2 linked regions of the Struthio camelus genome follow. The protein of the gene in region 2 interacts with the protein of the main gene of each other region in a pairwise test. Links are inferred from orthologs where the notes say so. Each region holds a gene or a part of one and is shown on either strand. Other genes may lie near its edges.

Region 1 (10,608 bases), on a different chromosome or scaffold from region 2:
AAAGCCTTTTGGGTATCTCCTTGTATTTCAGCAACATAATTGGCTTGAAGTCTCTGCTGAATTACAAAATCACTTTAATGCCAGTGTTTTGCAGAAAGCTTCCATCATATCAACGTTTCTTATAGAGACTCTGAATGGAAGAGAACATTTTTCAAGCCTACAAGCTGTTGTATGTTAAAGAACAAACTTCCTAGACCCACGGATGTATGCTAGATACTACCTACAGCTAAGGTAAGCAGAGGTAAAATGCTGGAGCACTACCACACAAGGCATGCTACCTTATTAGTAAACTACACTAGAAAATTTAACAGTGCAGCTGCCTCCAAAATCTCATGCATACCTTCCAATAAAGACTTTTCCAATTCTGGACTTTTTGCACCAGATATGAGGAAAATAACTTGCTGAATGAACACATCAACTAGTGTATCTGACACCATCTATTATTTAATTTATTCTATGACAAGAGACATACCTGAAAAGTCTAACGTGTAGTTAAATTTTGCAGTAGTAAAAGAAACAGATCCATGAGGGTTTGTTCTGAAGCTCCTTTCAATATCTTCACTGCTAACTGAGCAATGACTGTTTGAATCAGTCTTTAAAACAAACCAAAAAGCACAATTAGGCAAATTCAGAAGTAGTTGGATGTTTGGAAATCATCATAGCTAACATAATTTCATATGTAGTTACCTGAAACATATGCCATTTACCACACTCAGCCAAATAAAACCAGCCCCACTGGGTGTCTGAGGTATCCATCTCTTCAACTGCACTTTCCGTCTTCGGAAAGAATTCTTCTGATGCTCTCTGAAGCATTTCCTGCAATGTTCATACACATGCAAAAAAGTCTTCTGTGATACTATTTGCAAAAGTGCATTATTTGAGAAATTCAGTAAAGAATATAAAAGCAGAATAACATGAATTGTAATACTTAGAAAAAAGAAAGGCAGAGGGGCATATTTGTTTTCTCTTTCTTAAAGAAAGTTTCTCAATTTCCTACTTATCCAGTTTAACAAGTATTACCTGTAAACCTGGTTAAACATTTTCAAAGCTAACGCTCTCTCGAATGTTTATAAACATGTCGCCAGATCAAGAGCTATAGGCTTTGTCAGATGAAAAAGAGGTGCCAAATTCATACTGACAGACATACAAGCAAATCCAGTCATAAATACAATAGGCTCTGAGTTATACATAACTCAGGAATGAGATACTGGGGTGATGTCTGATAGTTGGATGAAAACATCTACTACATACTCACCAGCAGTCAACAAATTAGATGGAATACTAGGAGTTGCTAGAAAAAAAATCAGAGACTAAAACAAGCATCATCATTATGTCACCGTGCAAGTCCACAGTGCATTATTCCTCAACACTGCATGATAGTTTGTTTCCCCTCAAATGAAAAAAAAAATGCTTGAAAACGCCTTGAAAAGGATACAGTAAAATTATGAAAGGCAGAGAGAAGGCTGCCAAAAAAACAAGCAGAATGGCTTACACACAAGGGATGACTACCAAAGCTAGGATTCTTCAGGATGGAAGAAAGAAGTGATGAAAGGATAAAACAGAAGGCTACAAAATCATGGCAAAGTTGAATAGCGAATTACTGATTACATTTTCTTCCAAAGAAGGGGACACCTAACAAAACTTGTGTTAAGTTTAAAATAAATGAAAGGAAATGTCTTCATAAAATAGATCACTGAACTATGGAATTGCTTTCCATGGTATGCTGTGGTTCCTGAAAGTTTATGCAAGTTTAAAAAGTGATGGGACAAGTTCATAGAAAAGGTAACCAATGGCTATATCAGGAAAACTTCACAACAGCCCCCACTAGATTTCAACTTAACAATAAAATCCTGAAAATTCTGAAAGAATTTGACTCCACTTGCATATATCTCCTAACTTGTCAAAACCAGTTAATAAACAGCAGTAAAAATTCTAATGGGGGAAAAAGTTCCAGAGAAACAGGCTTGCCCTACTCCCATAAAGAGTTAGCAATTCATCCAGTCTATCTGATTAACCAAGACTGGCACTCTTCTCAACTTTTTCCTCAACTTAACTTTTGCTTCCAGAACATGGACCACCACACTCCAGCACAAGTAAGTCAAAACATTCTCCTGCTAACAACCTGGATGTTTCAGTTGCTTCCTGGACACTTCAACCCAGAAAACTGTAGCAGAGACCTTCAGAAGGCACTCCGGAGATGAAGAAGTAGGAGCCAACTGGTCAGTGCTATTGGGGCAGGAACTGAGAGCAGAAGGCCTCTTCTAACACTAGCTTCCCCCATATTTTTCCCAAGTAAACCTTCAATGGTGTTTTCAAAAATCACAGAAACCTCTTCATGGTAATAGCTAGAAACTATGTCTCAAATAAGACATGATTTCTAATCATCAAAAGCTACTACGAAACTATATGCTTAAAAAACAGGGAAATTAGTGATAGAGCTCCACAACATCTCTAAATTGCAGAACCTCAGGGTACACCTACTTCAGCACAAATGGAAGCACATCCATTCCTTCCAACAGGAAGACCTGATGAAATGGGAGCTCCATACAACACTGAAAGGTTTTGGCAGCTTACTTTCATTATTTAAACCTACAAGGATAGCTGCCTCAATTTCAAGCAGAACAATACTAAAGACCATGTTTTCACCTACAGGCTGAGTTACACTTGTCTACACTTGTTACACAAGTCTACACTTGTTTAAAGCTAAGAGGAAAGTAATTCTGACTTTTCTGAGGTACGGTTTAGTTTCTTATTTTTCCACTGGAATAACCAGACCTCAGCTCCATGCCAACATTAGTTCAGGGCCTTGAATCTGATCACTCAAATTACTAATGGCTTTGGAACAGTTACAAACAGAGGAGTTATGTTCATCTGCACCTATCAATATACTTGTACTCCTCTGGGAGCAACACAGCCCCCGGGGGGAAAAAAAAATCACTTATCAATGACACAGTTATTCCCGTAATTTCCAAAAATGTTACTTCCAGTCCACACATTATCCCAGTCACAGAGTCCTGCATAGATTCATGGATACTTCTAAGTATGGTAGAAGGACCCAAGCCATAATCACTAAAAAGAAAACAGGAGAGCTGCTCTGAAAGGTGATCCAAATCCCACATGCTTTAAAAAAAAAAAAAATAGGCTCAATTTACTGATGAATTTAAAATCAAGACCACTCTATTTATAAAGAATAGGTAGGTTTTTGTCCAAAATCTCTGAATGCATATACAGCAAGCAGGAACTCTTAGCAGGTTTTTCTAGATGACCAGAACATCAACATCAAAGATACAGCAAAGAAAATTTCATTAGCAATAATGCTGCTAACAGAGGAGCTTTCAACTCCCATTACTAGAACTTCTACTACTGGTCCAGGAGCTATCAGGAACCGAATAAAAGTAACAACTATTACTCTGACAGCAGAAAATTTCTCCTAATGAGAATGAATGCTTGTTGTGTCATGAAAGTACTGTCATTGAATGGCTGTAATACTAACACAGCTGCTCATTTCTCAAGGAGTCTTAAGTTTGAATGATAAATATGCTTTATAGTGCCTCCAGATGAGCTATTCAGTTTTCTTGTGCTGTCTACATCCATTTGTTGGACTGTTCTGTAGTGCTGGAGATTCTTTTGCCAGCAATCAGCAACTCTGCATAGTTCCCAGCTGAGTCCACTAGTAGCCCTAATAGAGACTCCAGCCCTTCCTTAGGTAGCAAAGTATCTGAAAAAGGAGACTTTCCCGAGCTCCCGAGCTCCCGAGCTGAGAGCACAGTGCTGGGAAGGGGTGGCAGAGAAGAACGAACAGCATTAGCACAGGTGCAGACCACGACCTGAGGAGCCAGCTCATACAGGGACGATGCCCTCTGCAGCTGTATTGTCACTGCTGCAGAGGACTGCCCGCTCGCTGCTGCTGTCGCTCCTTTTCCTACCCCCCTCCCAGCTGAGTCCGTAAAGAGCTCAAGGATGGGGGGGGGGGGGGAGAGACAGCTAAACGTAACAATAGTCCCTCCCCTATATGGCTCCTAGCCCTCCCCCAAAGAGAGCTGTGGCGGCCTGTGCCCCCCATCCCCAACCTGGCAACACGGTCTCTGAGCGCGCGCTCGCTCGCTTGCAGGGGGTGGGGCACAGCGGGACGAGCCGAGGGCGGCCTGCGGCCTGGAGCGCGCCTACTGAGGCGGAGGCGGGAGGAGGGAGAACGAGACAAAAGGAGTGGCCGTTTCCCCCGTCCCCCTCCCCGCGCGCACTCACCGCATCGGCCGCCCACCCCGGGCTCGCTCCCCACATGTTGACCGGAGGGTGGGGAAGGAGTGGCGGGAAGGGGGGGGGGGAGGGGAAGGGGGGGGGGGGGGGAAAGCAGGCCGAGCCCGGCCGCTCCGGGCACGTCACTGCTCAGGCTCCGGAGCGCTTCCGTTATCGGTGGCAAAAGAAAAGGGAGGAACAACGACTGTTATAGGTAGGGCTAAATCTGTTCGTCACACAGGGGGGCGAGGCCTGGTATGCAAATTTAGGCGAGGGAGGCGGGGGCTTGGGAGGCAGTGGAGGAACCAGGCTTGGGGCGGGGGCGGGGGCGGGGGCGGTTGTGGTTGTGGTTGTGGTTGTGTTGGGTACCCGCCCGCCCGCCCGCGCTGTGGGCGGGGCGGAAGGAGACTACGCAGTATGGAGCCGTGTGCTGCTTGCCTGCATGCCTGGCGCTGTGGGCATCTCATGGCCTCGCAGGTGGTGGTGTTGCCGTGACGCTCGCTCGTCAGCCCTGCGGCCTCTGGCAGTCTTGTCAATGTGTTGTCGCATGGGTAGCAGTTTTGGCTGTGAGATGCTTGAGTTCAGTGTGCCTCACTTCTCTCAACTCTGCAGCTTTGTTTTTTATTTCCTTTAATTATTGGCTGTCATCATGGAAAGCAATGGGCCTAGTCTCCCAAAGAGCTTTCACAGCCCATATGGGGCCACATGAGCCTGTATATATGCTTAATTCTGCACACATAGCATTTAAAGAACCTGTACTGCGCTAGCTCCTTGTAGGGCGGTGGAAGTGACAACTCTTAAGTGATTACCTAATGCAGAGAGGAAGTAAAAACTGCAGCCTGTTGCAGGCATTCATCAACTGCACTTTCAGAGCTTGAAAAACAGAACACCTAGTGGCATTTTTACATTGTAATTGAGATCTAGAAACAAAAGCAGCTGTAGCACTTCTTACTGAGGAGGGCCATAGTTGTGAACGTACCTCCTCCCAGCCTTTCCATGCAGAGAGTCTAGAATGAGAGCTGCAGAGCAGAAAAACAGGCAGTTAACCAGCTCCAAGAAGCTTACTAATTCACACTGCCATTGGTCAGTGGGCAATAAATTCTAAGCTGGAAACTTCACAGAACAGGCAGTCATCATGCAGTCATGTGAAGCCATTAAAGTACATCCTGCTCTGAAGGTGGTTCATTGGGCAGCATTCCAGAAATAACGGAGGTGGATTGAAAATGATGAATTTCTCATATTCTGAGGGAGTGTCAAACAGGATGCGTATCCAGATTCTGGCTTTGCTGACCTTGTCTTTCAATATGTAGTTGAAGAGGCTATTTTTTCTGGTGTTAAGTAACCTCTGGTGAATCACTGAGGGCAGTTCACTGGCATACATGTGATGCCCATGTCCTCAGAAACAGAGGAGTTTACCAGAAGCAGGGATATCTTTTCCTGAACAGGATATTGGTATGGTTGAAAAACGCATAATGACCATGGGGACCAATCCTATCTGTGCGGTCCTAATTTATGAATCTGTACAAAGGATAAGGGTGGTGTTACCACCTTAGCTGTTGCAGCAAGCCTGCTGAATGCCCTTTTTTCACTTGGAAAAATGATGGTTTATAACCAGCCTTGTGTCTAACCTGAGCTTCTGTGAGTCATTTGCTCCTATTATTACTGCTGCCTGTTGTGTATTTTTGAAGTGCATGTGGGAACCTTCCAACAGGGTGACAACTGGAAGTGTTGAGGTTGTTTGTGGAATTTGCCTAAGTAAATATGAAGATAGTTACTGTAGCCCAACATGGAACTGTCTAGCAGCCCAAAGTTTTAAAGAGGTTTCTTCTGTTATGCCTTGAACTGTGGAACAGAGCTGGGAATTTTTTGTGTCTGTTTCTTCCCTTTCATTGTAGGATAATTAATAATGGAGCATAAGCCTCTTACAAGATGAGAACATCTTAGTTACATTCAAAATAAAGCTTTTTAGAATGACTGTATTCTTATCAAGCTTCATGCCAATGCCAGACTCTTCATAGCAACAACAATTTAAAAATCTTTGAAAGCAGTTCTTTCCAAAGAATTATGTGGATATCTTACATACTATGTGAAACTAACAGTAGTCCTGGTGAAGACATAATTGCAGTAATTGGCTCCTATGAGCCTGCACTAAAAGCAGCAAAAAGGCAGAAACTGGAGAGGTTTGGCCACATGGCTTGAGTTACAAATACAGTTTTTCAGGGAACCACAGAATCACAGAATGGTTTAGGTTGGAAGGGACCTCTGGAGATCATCTAGTCCAACTTCCCTGCTCAAGCAGGGGCCTCTACAGCATGTTGCCCAGGATCACATCCAGATGGGTTTTGAGTATCTCCAGCGAAGGAGACTCCACTACCTCTCTGGGCAACCTGTCCCAATGCTCTGTCACCCTCACAGTCAAGAAGTTTTTCCTCATGTTCACATGGAACTTCCTGTGGTTCAGTTTCTGCCCGTTGCCTCTTGTCCTGTCGCTGGGCACCACGGAGAAGAGTCTGGCCCCATCCTGTTGACACCCCCCCTTCGCATACTTGTACACATTGATGAGATCCCCTCTCAGTCTTCTCTTCTCCAGGCTGAACAGGCCCAGCTCCCTCAGCCTTTCCTCATATGAGAGATGCTCCAGTTCCCTCATCATCTTTGTAGCCCTCCGCTGGACTCTCTCCAGGAGTGCCATGTCTCTCTTGTCCTGGGGAGCCCAGAACTGGACACAGCACTCCAGGTGAGGCCTCCCCAGGGCTGAGGAGAGGGGCAGGATCACCTCCCTCCACCTGCTGGCAACACTCTGCCTAATGCACCCCAGGATACCACTGGCCTTCTTGGCCACAAGAGCGCATTGTTGGCTCACAGAATCACAGAATCGTTTAGGTTGGAAGGGACCTCTGGAGATCATCTCGTCCAACCTCCCTGCTCAAGCAGGGTCACCTAGAGCATATTGCCCAGGATCACATCCAGACGGGTTTTGAATATCTCCAGCGAAGGAGACTCCACTACCTCTCTGGGCAACCTGTTCCTGTGCTCACTCACCCTCACAGTCAAGAAGTTTTTTCTCAGGTTCAGATGGAACTTCCTGTGGTTCAGTTTATGCCCATTGCCTCTTGTCCTGTTGCTGGGCACCACGGAGAAGAGACTGGCCTCATTCTCTTGACACTCCCCCTTCAGATACTTAAACACCTTGATGAGATCGCCTCTCAATCTTCTCTTCTCCAGGCTGAACAGGCCCAGCTCTTGCAGTCTTTCTTCCTAGGAGAGGTGCTCCAGCCCTCTAATCATCTTGGTAGCCCTCCACTGGACTCTCTCACGGTCAGCTTGTTCTCCACCAGCGTCCCCAGGTCCTTCTCTGCAGAGCTGCTTTCCAGCAGGTCAATCCCCAGCCTGTACTGGTGCCTGGGATTCTTCCTCCCTAGGTGCAGGACCCTGCACTTGCCTTTGTTGAACTTCAGGAGGTTCCTCTCCGCCCAGCTCTCCAGCCTGTCCAGCTCCCTCTCAATGGCAGCACAGCCTTCTCGTGTGTCAGCCACTCCCCCCAGTTTAGGCATCAGCATCAGCCAACTTGCTGAGGGTGCACTCTGTCCCTTCCTCCAGGTCATTGATGACTACATCAATGGACAGTCCTGGACCCAGGACTGACCCCTGCGGGACACCACTAGCTACACGCCTCCAACTAGACTCCGCACCACTGACCACAACCCTCGGAGCTCTGCCATCCAGCCAGTTCTCGATCCACCGCACCGTCCACTCATCTAGCCCACACTTCCTGAGCTTACCTAGGAGGATGTGGTGGGAGACAGTGTCCGAAGCCTTGCTCAAGTCCAGGGAGACAACATCCACTGCTCTGCCCTCATCTACCCAGCCGGTCATTCCATCTGAGAAGGCTAGCAGATTGGTCAAGCATGATTTCCCTTTGGTGAAGCCGTGCTGACTACTCCTGATCACCTTCTTGTCCTCCAGATGCTTAGTGATGACCTCCAGGAGGAGCTGTTCCATCACCTTTCCAGGGATGGAGGTGAGGCTGACAGGCCTGTAGTTTCCTGACTCCTCCTTCTTTCCCTTTTGGAAGACTGCGGTGACATTGGGTGACAATGGTCGAATGGAAGTGAAGGAGAGATTCCCTGGTACTGCCTGGCACATAAATCATAGAATCAAGAAGGACTTAGGTTTGAAAGAATTTGTGAAAGTCTCTAATCCAATCTCCTGATCAAAGCAGGCCTAACTTCAAAGCTAGATCAGGTTGCTTAGTTCCTTTTTCCAGCCAAATTATAAAAATCTCCAAAGGTGGAAATTTTACAGTGTCTCCAGGTATATGTTCCCACTCTTAGGGGCAAGAATTTTTTCCTTATGTCCAATCTGAATTTCCTGTATTGCAACTTGTGTACATTGCCTCTTGTCCTTTTACTGCGACCCTGTGAGAAGAGCTCCCTCAGCATTTCTTCATATGTCTTTACCTGGACAGGGAAATAACAGGTACAGCTTCTCCAAGCTGCTAAATAAAGATCACCTGGAAGATCTACCTGAAGTAGAGAGAAATTACAATCAGTGCCCAAATATAATGCCCTTTTAATTGGGTCAGTTGGGGGATTATAGGATTGTAGGAGAATTCAGGTTGGAATGGACCTCCAGAGGTCATCTAGTCCAACCTCCTTCTCAAAGTAGGGTCAACTATGAGGTCAGATCAAGTTATTCAGGGCTTTATTCAGTTGGTTCTTGAAAACCTACAAGGACGGAGACTGCACAACCTCTCAGGGCAACCTGTTCCAATGCTTAACTGCCCTCATGGTGAACAAGCTTTTCTCTATATCCATTTGGAATCTCTCATTTCAACTGAAGACTATTCTCTCCTGTCCTCCCATCTCCCTCTGTGAAGAGCTTGACCCTGTCTTCTTGATCACCTACCTAGGTATTGGAAGGTTGCTATTAGGCACCCCAGAACCTTCTCTTCTCTAGGCTGAAGAAGCCCTGTTCTCTTAGCTTCTCCTCACAGGGCAAGTGCTCCAGGCCATCTTGGTGGCTCTCTGATGAACTTGTTTCAGTTGATTAATGTCCTTCTTGTACTGATAGGCCCACAACTGGATGCAGTATTCTAGACAGGATCTCACAAATGCTAATAATCCTTTCCCTTGATCTACTGGCTATGGTCTTGTTAATACAGCACAGGATGCTGTCAACCTTCTTTGCTGCCACGGAACACTGCTGGCTCATATTCATCTTTCTGTCTACCGAGACCCCAGGTCTTTTTCAGGAGAGCTGCTCACCAGCTTGTGAGTCCCCAGCCTGTTCTGTTGCCAGGGGTTATTCCTTCCCAGGTGCAGGACATCATTGTTTTTATTCTTGTTCAAGTTCATAAGGTCCCTGTCAGCCCATTCCTCCAACTTGTCTTTGTCCCTCTGGATAGCAGCTCTGCCCTTAAGTGTATCAGCTAGGATAAGATAAGGCAGAAAACTGCTATAATACGTTCTCTGAGAGGGAAGTATATGATTCTTTGGTATCTGCTATTTCATGATAAATTAATTTTCAGTAAACATTAAAATTTTGAATTCATTCAATTGAGACATAATATAAATGATAATGAAATTTTGTTGGGCTGGTGTAGATGGGAACATCTCATTCCTTTGATGCTTTTTTTGGTGAGACTGACTGAAAGCCATGGTCCCCAGCAGTATATATTTTGCCCCTTAATCCATGGAGAGCACAGCTTACAGCCAGGAGACTTCTTTTTCTCCCTTTACTTTTCTCCTATATTCCCAGATGTCCTTTTTTTCCCCCTGCCAGCCTTCTCACACTCACTTATGCCCAATACTTTGCCATAACTTGGTTGCTTAAAATTGTTGGATGCCTTTCTGTCTCCTTTCATGTGTAGACTGAGGTCCTGTGCCTCAGCCTCTCTTCTTTTTGGAGGGAAGTGGGTCCAGGAAGTCCTCTAGTCTGCAGCTGACATTGAGATAACTTAAATGCAAATAGATGTACTTGTAGCAGCATCAGAAGGGCAGAGAGCTGGAAGTTGGTTTTGTTTTGTTTTGGGTTTTTTTGTTTTTTGTTTTTTGTTTTTTTGTGATCCTATAAAGAAGGACAGGGAAAGATTTCACAGCAGAGCCCAGGGGAACCAGGATGCTTGGATACCTGGACTCATTTTAGACTCTTACCTTTACTAGGCTGCCGCAACCATGTATTACTAACTGCAGCATAGCATGGCAGTGAGACCCAATCCAGTCATCACAGGCAATCAGAGAATGAGATAGCCTCAAGACCAGAGAGGCTGCCAACACCAGTTCAGTTTCTGAAGTATGACATACACAACTGAACGGGGCTGATTCTCAGTGCACTGGCTGCAGTGCTGCACCCTATGCACTATTCTAATGA
Region 2 (10,411 bases):
GGGACCCCCCCGGCCGCCAGCACCGAGCCCCCCGCGGCCGAGCCGCCGCACCCTGGCCCCGGCTTTCCCGCGCCGGAAGCGCGTGGGACGGCGCGCGGGAAACCCCTGGCCGCCGAGCATCCCCGGCCCTCCGCCGCGGCCCCCCCACCTCGGCACGGAGCAGGGAACCTCAGCCACGGCGGGGACCTGCCTCCGAGCCCCCCGGAGCCCCCCGGTCCCGGGGAAGCCGAGCATCCGGAGCAGCCGAGCATCCGGAGCGATCCCCACCGGCTCAGCCCCGAATACAGCCGGGGGGGAAGCGGGGGGGGGGGGGGGACGGCCCTTGGCACGCAGGGACGGGGACGAAGCAGCGCGTGCAGGACGCGGCGAGCGCAGTGATTAATGGCCGGCTGCCACCCGTTGATTTATTGCCGCGCTTCCCTCTCCTTCCTGTTTAAACAGCCTTTCCTGACGCCCCGCGCGCCGGGCTGCACACCCCGGCCCGCCACGGGCCGCCCGCCGCAGCCACCGCCGGCGGCACCCCACGCCGCGGCCCCGGCCCGGGGGGGGGGACGGCACCGGGGGCGGCGGAGGGGCTCGGGCTGCCCCGGCTCGGGCACGGCAGGGACGCGCTCGGCGTTAAGAGGATTTCCTGGCACTCCACTATAAATAATCGCGGAGCAAGGGGAGCTTCCGCTGCTGGAGCCTGGGAGCCCCGGGCGGCGGCAGCGGAGCCGGGACGGGTCCCCGGGGAGCCCCCGGCCTTCGGAGCCCGGCCGCGGCCGCCGAGCGGCACCGGGGCAGCAGCCGGGCGGCCGCCGCGACGGGCTGGGGGTGCGGGGCCGGGACCCCCCGCTGCAGCACCCAACCGCCGCAGCCCCCCGGCTGGGTTTTTTCCCCCCTTCCAGACACTGCAGCTCCGTGTTTATGCTCCCGGCCAGGAAACGCGGCCGCTCCCAGGAGCGGGTGGTTTTTTCCAAGGCCGGGGCTCAGGAAACGTCCCCCCGCGGCCGGGGAACGCGCCGCGTGCCGGCCGGCCCCGGGGAGGACGGGGAAGGACGCGGGAGCAGCCGAAAGCACCGCCGTTTTAATAAAAGCGCGGCGCAAAGAGCCCCGGGAGCCCGCGCCGGGCGTGCACGCGGCCGCCCCCCCGTCACTTGCCCACGCAGAAGTCCCTGAAGATGATGTCCAGGACGTCCTCGGCGCCCACGTGCCCCGTGATCCTGCCCAGGTGCCGCCGCGCCAGCCGCAGCTCCTCGGCGGCCAGCGCCAGGTCGGTGCCGCCCGCCCGGCCGTAGCGGGCCAGGGCGGCCCGGCAGGCGCGCAGGTGGTGGCCGTGGCGGCTCTGCGTGAGGCTGGGCGAGCCGGCCAGCGGGTCCCCGCACCTGGGCGGCGAGAGGAGCCTGCAGCAGCGCCCGCGCCGAGCCCCCCGCCGCCCCGAGCCCCCCGCCGCGCCGCCCCGGCACTCACAGCCGCTCCAGCTGCCGCCGCAGCAGCTCCAGCAGCCCGGCGAGACCCTCGCCCGTCTTGCAGGAGAGCAGGGCGGCGGGGGGCAGCCCCCCGCGGGCGCAGGCGGCCCCCAGGGCCCCCGCGCCGCCCGGCGCCACGTCCACCTTGTTCAGCACCAGCACGCAGGGCTTGGCGGCGCCGGGGGGCAGCACGGCCCCCAGGGCTTCGCCGAGCTGCGTCGGCTCCGCCGGCACCGCGCCGGCGTCCAGCACCGCCAGCACCAGGTCGGCGTGCCGCAACCTGCGAAGAGCCCGCGGGAAGGATGCGGCCCTCGGGGGGAGGGGGGGGGGCCGCGGCGCCAGCCCCCGCCTCCCGCCCCGTCCCCGCACCTCTCGCGCGCCCGGCTCACGCCCTCCCGCTCGACGGGGTCGGCGGCGTCGCGCAGCCCGGCCGTGTCGCTCAGCACCACGGGGTATCCGCCGACGTTCAGCGGCAGCTCCACCACGTCCCGCGTGGTCCCCGCCGCGGGCGACACGATGGCTGCCGGCCGCCGGGCTGCGCGGGGAGGGCGGCGCGGCTCAGGGGAGGCCGGCGGGGCCGGGAGGCTCCGTCGGCTCCGCGTCCCCCCCCCCCCGCCAGCTCACCCAGCAGGTTGAGGAGGCTGCTCTTGCCCGCGTTGGGGGGGCCGGCGATGACCACGCGGACGCCGCCGCGCAGCAGCTCCCCGCGCCGCCCGTCCCGCAGGTGGGCGCCCACCTCCTCCTCCAGCGCCCGCACGGCCGCGGCCACTGCGGGGGCGAGAGCGGCAGCGTCGGGGTTGGGGGCGGCCGGGGCGGGCCGGCCCCGGCCCCCAGCCCCCTCCCGGCCCTCACCTCGCGACAGCACCTCTTCCTCCACGTTGTCATCCTCGCTGAAGTCGATGTAGGCTTCGAGGTGGGCCAGCGCCTGGGGGGCACGAGGAGGGCTGAGCGGGGCAGGAGGGGGACGCTCCCGCCGCGCTCGGGCCGGCGGAGGAGCCCAGGCGTCCGGCCGGCCCCAACCCGCCTCCCCGCGGCTCTTGCCTGGGTGAGGGTCTCGCTCCAGCGCTGGTAGAGCTGCCCCAGCTCGCCCTCCATCTGCCGCAGCGCCTGCCGCCGCTGGGCCTCCGTCTCCGCCTGGATGAGGTCCCCCAGCCCCTCCACCGCCGTCAGGTCCAGCTTGCCGTTGTGGAAGGCTCTCCGGGCAAACTCGCCCGGCTCGGCGGGCCGCAGGCCGGGCAGGCGCCCTGCGAGCCGCGCCGGGGCCGCGTGAGCCGCCGCTGCGGCTCCATCCAGCCCAGAGCCCGGTGCGTCATCCCCGCGGGCGCGCGGAGCCTTACCCAGCGCCTGCAGCACGCCGCTCACCACGGCCGGCCCGCCGTGCACGTGCAGCTCGCAGCAGTCCTCCCCCGTGAAGCTCTGGGGCCCTGCAAAGCACGGAGGCGCTCGGGACACCGAGCGGTGAGACCCGCCGCGGCCGTGCAACCTGCGGCGGCGGTGCAAAGGAGCCAGCCGCCGTGCCGGGCGCCGAGACCCGCCGCGGGCTGGCGCCCAGCCCCGGCTCTCACCTGGGAACCAGACGACGAGGCCGCGGTCCAAGGGCTCGGCGGTGGCGGGGTCGCGGATGCGCCGCAGGGCCAGGACGCGGGGCGGCGGCAGCGCGGGGCGCCCGGTGAGGCTCTGCAGGGCCGCCCGGCAGCCCGGCCCGCTGGCCCGGATCACCGCCACGCCGCACTTGCCGTGGCCCGAGGACACGGCGAAGACGGTGTCGCCCCGCGCCGCGGAGCAGAGGCGCCGCGCGCTCCTGCAAAGGGACAGGGAGCCAGAGTGCGGGGCCGGGGGGGGGGCTTCCCTCCCCACACACGGCCCAAACAGGGGGGTCAGGGGGTGCAGGGATGCACCCCCCCCATGCACCCTCTCCCAGTGCACCCCACATACCCAGGGGTGTGCACCCCTTCCTATGCAGCCCCAGACCCAGGCGTGCACCCAGCACACCCCCGCGAGACCTGGGGGGCAGGGAGGGTGCAGGGGAGCACCCCCTTCCCCAGCTGCCCCCCTTCCCTGTGCACAACCCCATGCCAGGCTGCACCCCCTGCTCCCCACACACCCCCATTCCAGGATGCAGCCCTCCTCCCTGTGCACCCCCTTCCCGTTGCATCCCCACCTCGGGGTGCATCCCCTCCCCTTGCACCCCCACTCCAAAGCACCCCCCAACCCCAGGTGCATCTCCTCCTCTTGCAACCCCCCCTTCAGGGTACATACGCCACCTCAGGGCATCCCCTCCCCATGCACCCCCAACTCCAGGGTAGCCCTCACCCCAGGTGCATCCCCTCCCCTTGCAAGCCCCCCTCCAGGATGCATCCACCCCGGGGTGCCCCACGTGCATCCCCTCCCCTTGCAAGCCCCCCTCCAGGATGCACCCACCTCGGGGTGCCCCACGTGCATCCCCTCCCCTTGCAAGCCCCCCTCCAGGATGCACCCACCTCGGGGTGCCCCACGTGCATCCCCTCCCCTTGCAGCCCCCCTCCAGGATGCACCCACCCCAGGGTGCCCCACGTGCATCCCCTCGCCTTGCAGCCCCCCTCCAGGATGCATCCACCCCGGGGTGCCCCACGTGCATCCCCTCCCCTTGCAAGCCCCCCTCCAGGATGCACCCACCCCGGGGTGCCCCACGTGCATCCCCTCGCCTTGCAAGCCCCCCTCCAGGATGCACCCACCCCAGGGTGCCCCACGTGCATCCCCTCGCCTTGCAAGCCCCCCCAAGGTGCACCGCCACCCCACAGTGCCCCAGTTGCACCCTCTCCCCATGCACCGCCCCGCATACCCCCACCCCAGGGTGCCCCAGGCGCATCACCCTCCTTGCAAGCCCGCCCCCCGCTATTTCCCCTCCCCATGCACCCCCCGGTGTCCCCCACCTGCCGCCCGCCGCGCTCAGCGCCCACCGCAGCGCCATGAACCTCCGGCGCACGCCTTCCCCCAGCGGCGGCCTCAGGGCGGGCAGCCCCCCCCTCCCCCCGATTGGCCAAGGCGGCAGAGGGAGGCGGGCTTTAGCCCCAAACCCCCCTCTCTGATTGGTCAGCCAGCACGGCCGACGCCGCGCCGCCTGAGGCTGCGCAGGAGCGAATCGCTTCCGCCCGGCGGCGGGAGCGGCGCTGCCCGGCGCGTCCCCGTGTCGCCGGCGGGGCGGGGGCGGCCGGTCCCCGCGCTGTCCCCTGCGCCCTGCCCGGCCCCGCCGCCCTCTGCAAGGCTCCGCACGGCTTTGCCGGCTGCATTTGCCCCCCCACCCCACCCCTTCTCCCCCCGGCGGCTCTCAGCAGCGGTTCCCCGGGTGCCGGAGCTATTTTGGTGGCAGGGGCTGGGACATGTGGCCTCGCTGTCACCTCCCCGGGAACAGGACACCCGCGGCCCCCAGCGGGCAGCCGAGGCCCAGCTGGGCTGTGGGAGCCTGGCAGGGCCTTTTCTGCACCCTAAAAATAACCCCCAGCCCCATGTGTCCCCGAATCTGGGTCTGGGCAGGGGGCAGGTGGCCGGGGCAGGGGGGACAGCACCCGCGGCCACCGTGGGAACCCCCCCTGCCTCCCCTCCCCGGCCTCCAGCCCCTTTGCACCCGCTGACCCGCACTAATCCTGCAGCGGCTGCTTGTGTCCTGTGCCCCAGCCGAAGCTCTTGGGATTTTTGGATGCCCCCTGCCCCGGTCTACCTCGGCCGTGCCGGGGGTCCCGGCGCTGGGGACCGTCTGGCCCCGGACCCCGCCGAGCCGCAGATGCTCCGTCCCCGGGAAGCCCAGAGCGTCGGCTGAGGCCGGCAGCCAGCGCGGCCGAGCGGGAATCGCAGCCTCCCGGCGCCGCGCCGCTCCGTGAACCATAGAAATTTTCCCTGAGCAGGCGCTGGGCACTGGGACGCTGCTGGGGACACTGGGACGCTGCTGGGGACACTGGGATGCTCCCGGGGACATGGGACCCCTCCCCAGCTCCCAGCAGCTTTGTGCAGACGGGCGGTGCCGGGGGGGCCGCGCGCGGCCTGCGGGGCCTGGCGAGGACGCGGGGACGCTGCGGCGGGGGGGACGCCCGGGCAGACAAAGGCACTGGCAGCGGGAGGAGCGAGCGGCGGCGCGTGCAGGGATGCTGGGAACACCGTCCGCTCCGGCTCCGGCTCCGGCTCCGGCTCCGGCTCAGGCCCTTGCCGTGGAGCAACCCCCCCAGCCACCCTCTGGCCCCCGCCCAGGGAGCCCCCCGCACGCAGATGGCCAGAAATGGGGAAGGCAAAACAAAGGGAGGTGCCGCAGCGGAGCCCTCCATGCCCCCCCGCCTGCACACAGCCTGGCGCGCACACCCGCACGCACAGCCCTGTGTGTGTGTGTGCACAGCCCTTTGTGCACCCTCGCGTGCACCACCGCCTGCACACCCCCCCCCCCGCCTGCACACAGCCTGGCGCGCACACCCACACGCACAGCCCTGTGTGTGTGTGTGCACAGCCCTTTGTGCACCCTCGCGTGCACCACCGCCTGCACACCCCCCCCCGCCTGCACACAGCCTGGCGCGCACACCCGCACGCACAGCCCTGTGTGTGTGTGCACAGCCCTTTGTGCACCCCAGGGTACCCCCTCACCTGCACCCCCCCCCCCTGCATGCACACCCCCTGCACATGCCCCTGGGACAGATGCCAAGTAACCAAGCCAGTCCAGACCCCCCCCCCAAGGTGTCCCCAAATTTTTCCCAGCTGGGCGCGTGGGTCCGGCCCACGCGGAGTCTCGGGAAGGTCCGGGGCAGCCCGAGCGCAGCCCCCGCAGCGCTGGCCATGGGGCGGGGGGGATTGGGGCTCCGGGGCCCCGACGCGGGGGCCTGGCCCCCGGCCCGGGCTGCTGCAGCAGGCGCAGCCCCGGCGCCAAGAGGGCCCCGGACGTGCCAGGCTCCGGCGGCCGGTGGCAAACGCGCCGCGGGCTCCAAGCGCGGATGCCGGAGGAGAGGCCGGTTCCTTGTGGCATCGTTCGTCACGGCCGTCAGAGCTGGCACCCGGCGCCTTGCCCTAAAATAGCTGCGGGCAGGCAGCCGGCCTGGGGGGACTGAGCAGGACGCGGCGCGGGGGCTCCCGCACGCCCCGCCGCCTGCGCCGCCGTGGGGCTCGCGGGACGCCCGCGGCCGGGATCCGGCGTCCCGCAGACCCCGCGAGGGGCTGCGCCGGGTCCCCTGCCGTGTCCCCACGGGGCACCGGGGACCAGGCCACGGGGTGGGGGGCAGAGGAGGGCTCCCGAAAGGTCAGCGGGACACTGTGTAGCCCAGGTCAGGTTACCTGCGTGCCTTCCCGCCCGGCCGGGGCGCTCGAAATAACACCGTGACCCGTGGGGCTGGGCCGGGCGGGGGGCTGGCGCGTCAGGGTGGTGGGGGGACCGGCCGGGCAGGGGATGTGGGGACACCTCGGAGGGGGGCACAGGGATGTGGGGCAGTGGGGGGACCAGCTGGGCAGAGGATGCGGGGACACCTGGGAGGGGCGGGGGGATGTGGGGCAGTGGGAGGACCAGCCGGGTGTGGGATGCGGGGACACCTCCGAGGGGGCAGGGGACGTGGGGACACCTCGGGGGGGGCAGAGGGAGGTGGGGCAGTGGGAGGACCGGCCGGGCAGGGGATGCGGGGACACCTCGGAGGGGGGCAGGGGACATGGGGACACCTCGGGGGGGGCAGGGGATGTGGGGACACCTCGGAGGGGGGCAGGGGACATGGGGACACCTCGGGGGGGGCAGAGGGATGTGGGGCAGTGGGAGGACCGGCCGGGCAGGGGATGCGGGGACACCTCGGAGGGGGGCAGGGGACGTGGGGACACCTCGGGGGGGGCAGGGGATGTGGGGACACCTCGGAGGGGGGCAGGGGACATGGGGACACCTCGGGGGGGGCAGAGGGATGTGGGGCAGTGGGAGGACCGGCCGGGCAGGGGATGCGGGGACACCTCGGAGGGGGGCAGGGGACGTGGGGACACCTCGGGGGGGGCAGGGGATGTGGGGACACCTCGGAGGGGGGCAGGGGACATGGGGACACCTCGGGGGGGGCAGAGGGATGTGGGGCAGTGGGAGGACCGGCCGGGCAGGGGATGCGGGGACACCTCGGAGGGGGGCAGGGGACGTGGGGACACCTCGGGGGGGGCAGGGGATGTGGGGACACCTCGGAGGGGGGCAGGGGACATGGGGACACCTCGGGGGGGGCAGAGGGAGGTGGGGCAGTGGGAGGACCGGCCGGGCAGGGGATGCGGGGACACCTCGGAGGGGGGCAGGGGACGTGGGGACACCTCGGGGGGGGCAGGGGATGTGGGGACACCTCGGAGGGGGGCAGGGGACATGGGGACACCTCGGGGGGGGCAGAGGGATGTGGGGCAGTGGGAGGACCGGCCGGGCAGGGGATGCGGGGACACCTCGGAGGGGGGCAGGGGACGTGGGGACACCTCGGGGGGGGCAGGGGATGTGGGGACACCTCGGAGGGGGGCAGGGGACATGGGGACACCTCGGGGGGGGCAGAGGGATGTGGGGCAGTGGGAGGACCGGCCGGGCAGGGGATGCGGGGACACCTCGGGGGGGGGCAGGGGACGTGGGGACACCTCGGGGGGGGCAGGGGATGTGGGGACACCTCGGAGGGGGGCAGGGGACATGGGGACACCTCGGGGGGGGCAGAGGGATGTGGGGCAGTGGGAGGACCGGCCGGGCAGGGGATGCGGGGACACCTCGGAGGGGGGCAGGGGACGTGGGGACACCTCGGGGGGGGGGGGACGACGACAAAGGCTGCGGGGCGGGGCGCTGCCACCCGGGATGCTGCGGGTCCTGTCCCCGGGCTGCGGGGGAGGGAGGAGCCGAACGCCTGGGCCCCCCATGGCCAGCTGTTAGGAGGGGGGGGGGTGCGCGTCCCGGACACCTGGGCCCCGCGGCCGGTGCCGCCGGGCGCTGGGGAGCCGGCGACCAACCAGACAATTAAAGGGGCCGGGAGCGCGGCGCTCCGCCGCTTTGTCCCCTCCTCCCGGCCGGCGGCGGCGGCGGCGGCCCCGCGCCCGCAGCCCCCGCGGCCCCATGCGCCGGCGCCCGCCGCGGCCCGCAGCCCCCGCAGCCCCCGCAGCCCCCGCAGCCCCCGCAGCCCCGCACCATGCCCGACCCGCCGGCGGCAGCGCAGGACGCCGAGCGGCCCCGGCGGGCCCCGGCCGCCGAGGAGCGAGCGGAGCCGGCCGCCCCGGCCGGCGTCCTGGGTAGGTGGCACCGGGGGACATCGGGAGGGAGGGGGCAGCGGCCCGGGGATGGGGGCTGGGGAGGAGGCGGGGGGGAGGCTGCAGGCCCGGCGTCCCCCCCCCCCCACGCTGCGGTGCGCGGCTCCGGGCCCCTCCGCTGCCGCCCCTGTCCCGGTCCCGGTCCCGGTCCCGGTCCCGGCCCGGCCCGTCGGTGCGCGCAGGGGCCGCGGGCTGCGGCCGGCGGCAGCGGGGGGGCCGCTCCCTGCGGCTCAATGCGGATGTCGCCGGGGCACGGCCGAGCGGCGGGACAGCTCCTGCGCCGGGTGGGGACCGGCCTCCCCCGGGACAGGGCTGCCACCTCCCCGGGATGGGGACCGTGACTCCCCGGAACAGGGCTGCCATCCCCCTGGGGTGCAGTCTGTGCCCCCCCCCCACAACGGGACAGGGCTGCCACCCCCCCGGGATGGGGACTGTGACCCCCCCCGGGTCAGGGCTGCCATCCCCGCAGGATGGGGACCGTGACCCCCCAGGACAGGGCTGCCATCCCCCTGGGGTGCAGTCTGTGCCCCCCCCCCACAACGGGACAGGGCTGCCACCCCCCCGGGATGGGGACTGTGACCCCCCCCGGGTCAGGGCTGCCATCCCCGCAGGATGGGGACCGTGACCCCCCAGGACAGGGCTGCCATCCCCCTGGGGTGCAGTCTGTGCCCCCCCCCCACAACGGGACAGGGCTGCCACCCCCCCGGGATGGGGACTGTGACCCCCCCCGGGTCAGGGCTGCCATCCCCGCAGGATGGGGACCGTGACCCCCCAGGACAGGGCTGCCATCCCCCTGGGGTGCAGTCTGTGCCCCCCCCCCACAACGGGACAGGGCTGCCACCCCCCCGGGATGGGGACTGTGACCCCCCCCGGGTCAGGGCTGCCATCCCCGCAGGATGGGGACCGTGACCCCCCAGGACAGGGCTGCCATCCCCCCGGGGTGCAGTCTGTGTCCCCTCTAGGCAGGGCTGCCATCCCCCCAGGATGGGGACCGTGACCCCCCAGGACAGGGCTGCCATCCCCCCGGGACGGGGTCCGTGCTCCCACCTGGACAGCTCCAAGCCCCCGGGGTATCCGGTCCGTGCGCCCCCAGGACAGGTCTGTGGTCCCTGTGGATTGGGACTGTGCGTCCCCCCCCTCCCTGGGACCAGTGTGTGTGCCCCCCCCAGGATGGGGTCTGTTCCCCCCAGGACAAGGCCGGGCCCCCCAGTATCGGGTGTGCGTGCCCCGGGACATATCTGCGACCTCCCTGGGACAGGTCCGTGCCCCCTCCGGAGCGGGTCCCTGCGCCCCCAGGAGGGGTCCGCGCCCCCAGGGCAGGTCCATGCCCCCCCCCCCCGCCCTTGCCCCATGCGGGGCTGGGGCCAGGGCAGAGCTGGGCAGTGGGTGCGGGAGGGGGGGTTTGGGTTTGCTCCCTGGGGCCGGGGCAGGAGGTGGCGATGCAGCCCGGCCACCCCGCAGCCGCCCCGGTGACACCCCTGCGGACGTGGCGGGGGGCCGGGCAGCCCCCGGGGGCAGGGCGAGGGGGGTGAGCGGAGGGCCGCGGCTGGGGCCGGGGGGGGGGGGGGGAGGAAAGCCGAGCCGGGGACTCCCGCCAGCAGGAGCGCCAGGAGTGACCCAGTTTGGGTCCTCCCGGGAAGCGGCCTCCCGCGGCGGGGCGGCATCGCCGCCGGGGCCCGGTGCCGGCGCGCGCCGCCCGCCGCGGGCTCCTCTCCGCCGCAGGGCAGCGA

The links.
Region 1: the proteins of GTPBP3 (region 2) and PARP11 interact in binary tests that used the Homo sapiens proteins (3 or more experiments, as listed by UniProt). The two-hybrid records come from large-scale screens. The link is inferred for Struthio camelus from reciprocal best matches to the Homo sapiens genes GTPBP3 and PARP11.

The regions. Positions count from the first base shown.
Region 1 is NC_090942.1:88,017,476-88,028,083, forward strand, and holds the start of PARP11 (protein mono-ADP-ribosyltransferase PARP11), read right to left. Parts: upstream 4,476-10,608; 5' UTR 4,282-4,475; coding exon 4,246-4,281; intron 1,292-4,245; exon of another isoform or gene 1,256-1,291; intron 817-1,255; coding exon 688-816; intron 594-687; coding exon 473-593; intron 1-472. UniProt on the Homo sapiens protein: Mono-ADP-ribosyltransferase that mediates mono-ADP-ribosylation of target proteins. Plays a role in nuclear envelope stability and nuclear remodeling during spermiogenesis. Inhibits the type I interferon activated signaling pathway.
Region 2 is NC_090967.1:6,514,917-6,525,327, forward strand, and holds GTPBP3 (tRNA modification GTPase GTPBP3, mitochondrial), read right to left. Parts: upstream 4,425-10,411; 5' UTR 4,399-4,424; coding exon 4,361-4,398; intron 3,250-4,360; coding exon 3,014-3,249; intron 2,873-3,013; coding exon 2,786-2,872; intron 2,693-2,785; coding exon 2,490-2,692; intron 2,374-2,489; coding exon 2,301-2,373; intron 2,217-2,300; coding exon 2,073-2,216; intron 1,984-2,072; coding exon 1,818-1,983; intron 1,729-1,817; coding exon 1,450-1,728; intron 1,365-1,449; coding exon 1,133-1,364; 3' UTR 1,004-1,132; downstream 1-1,003. Other genes in the region: ANO8 (anoctamin-8), read left to right, coding at 8,564-8,663. UniProt on the Homo sapiens protein: GTPase component of the GTPBP3-MTO1 complex that catalyzes the 5-taurinomethyluridine (taum(5)U) modification at the 34th wobble position (U34) of mitochondrial tRNAs (mt-tRNAs), which plays a role in mt-tRNA decoding and mitochondrial translation.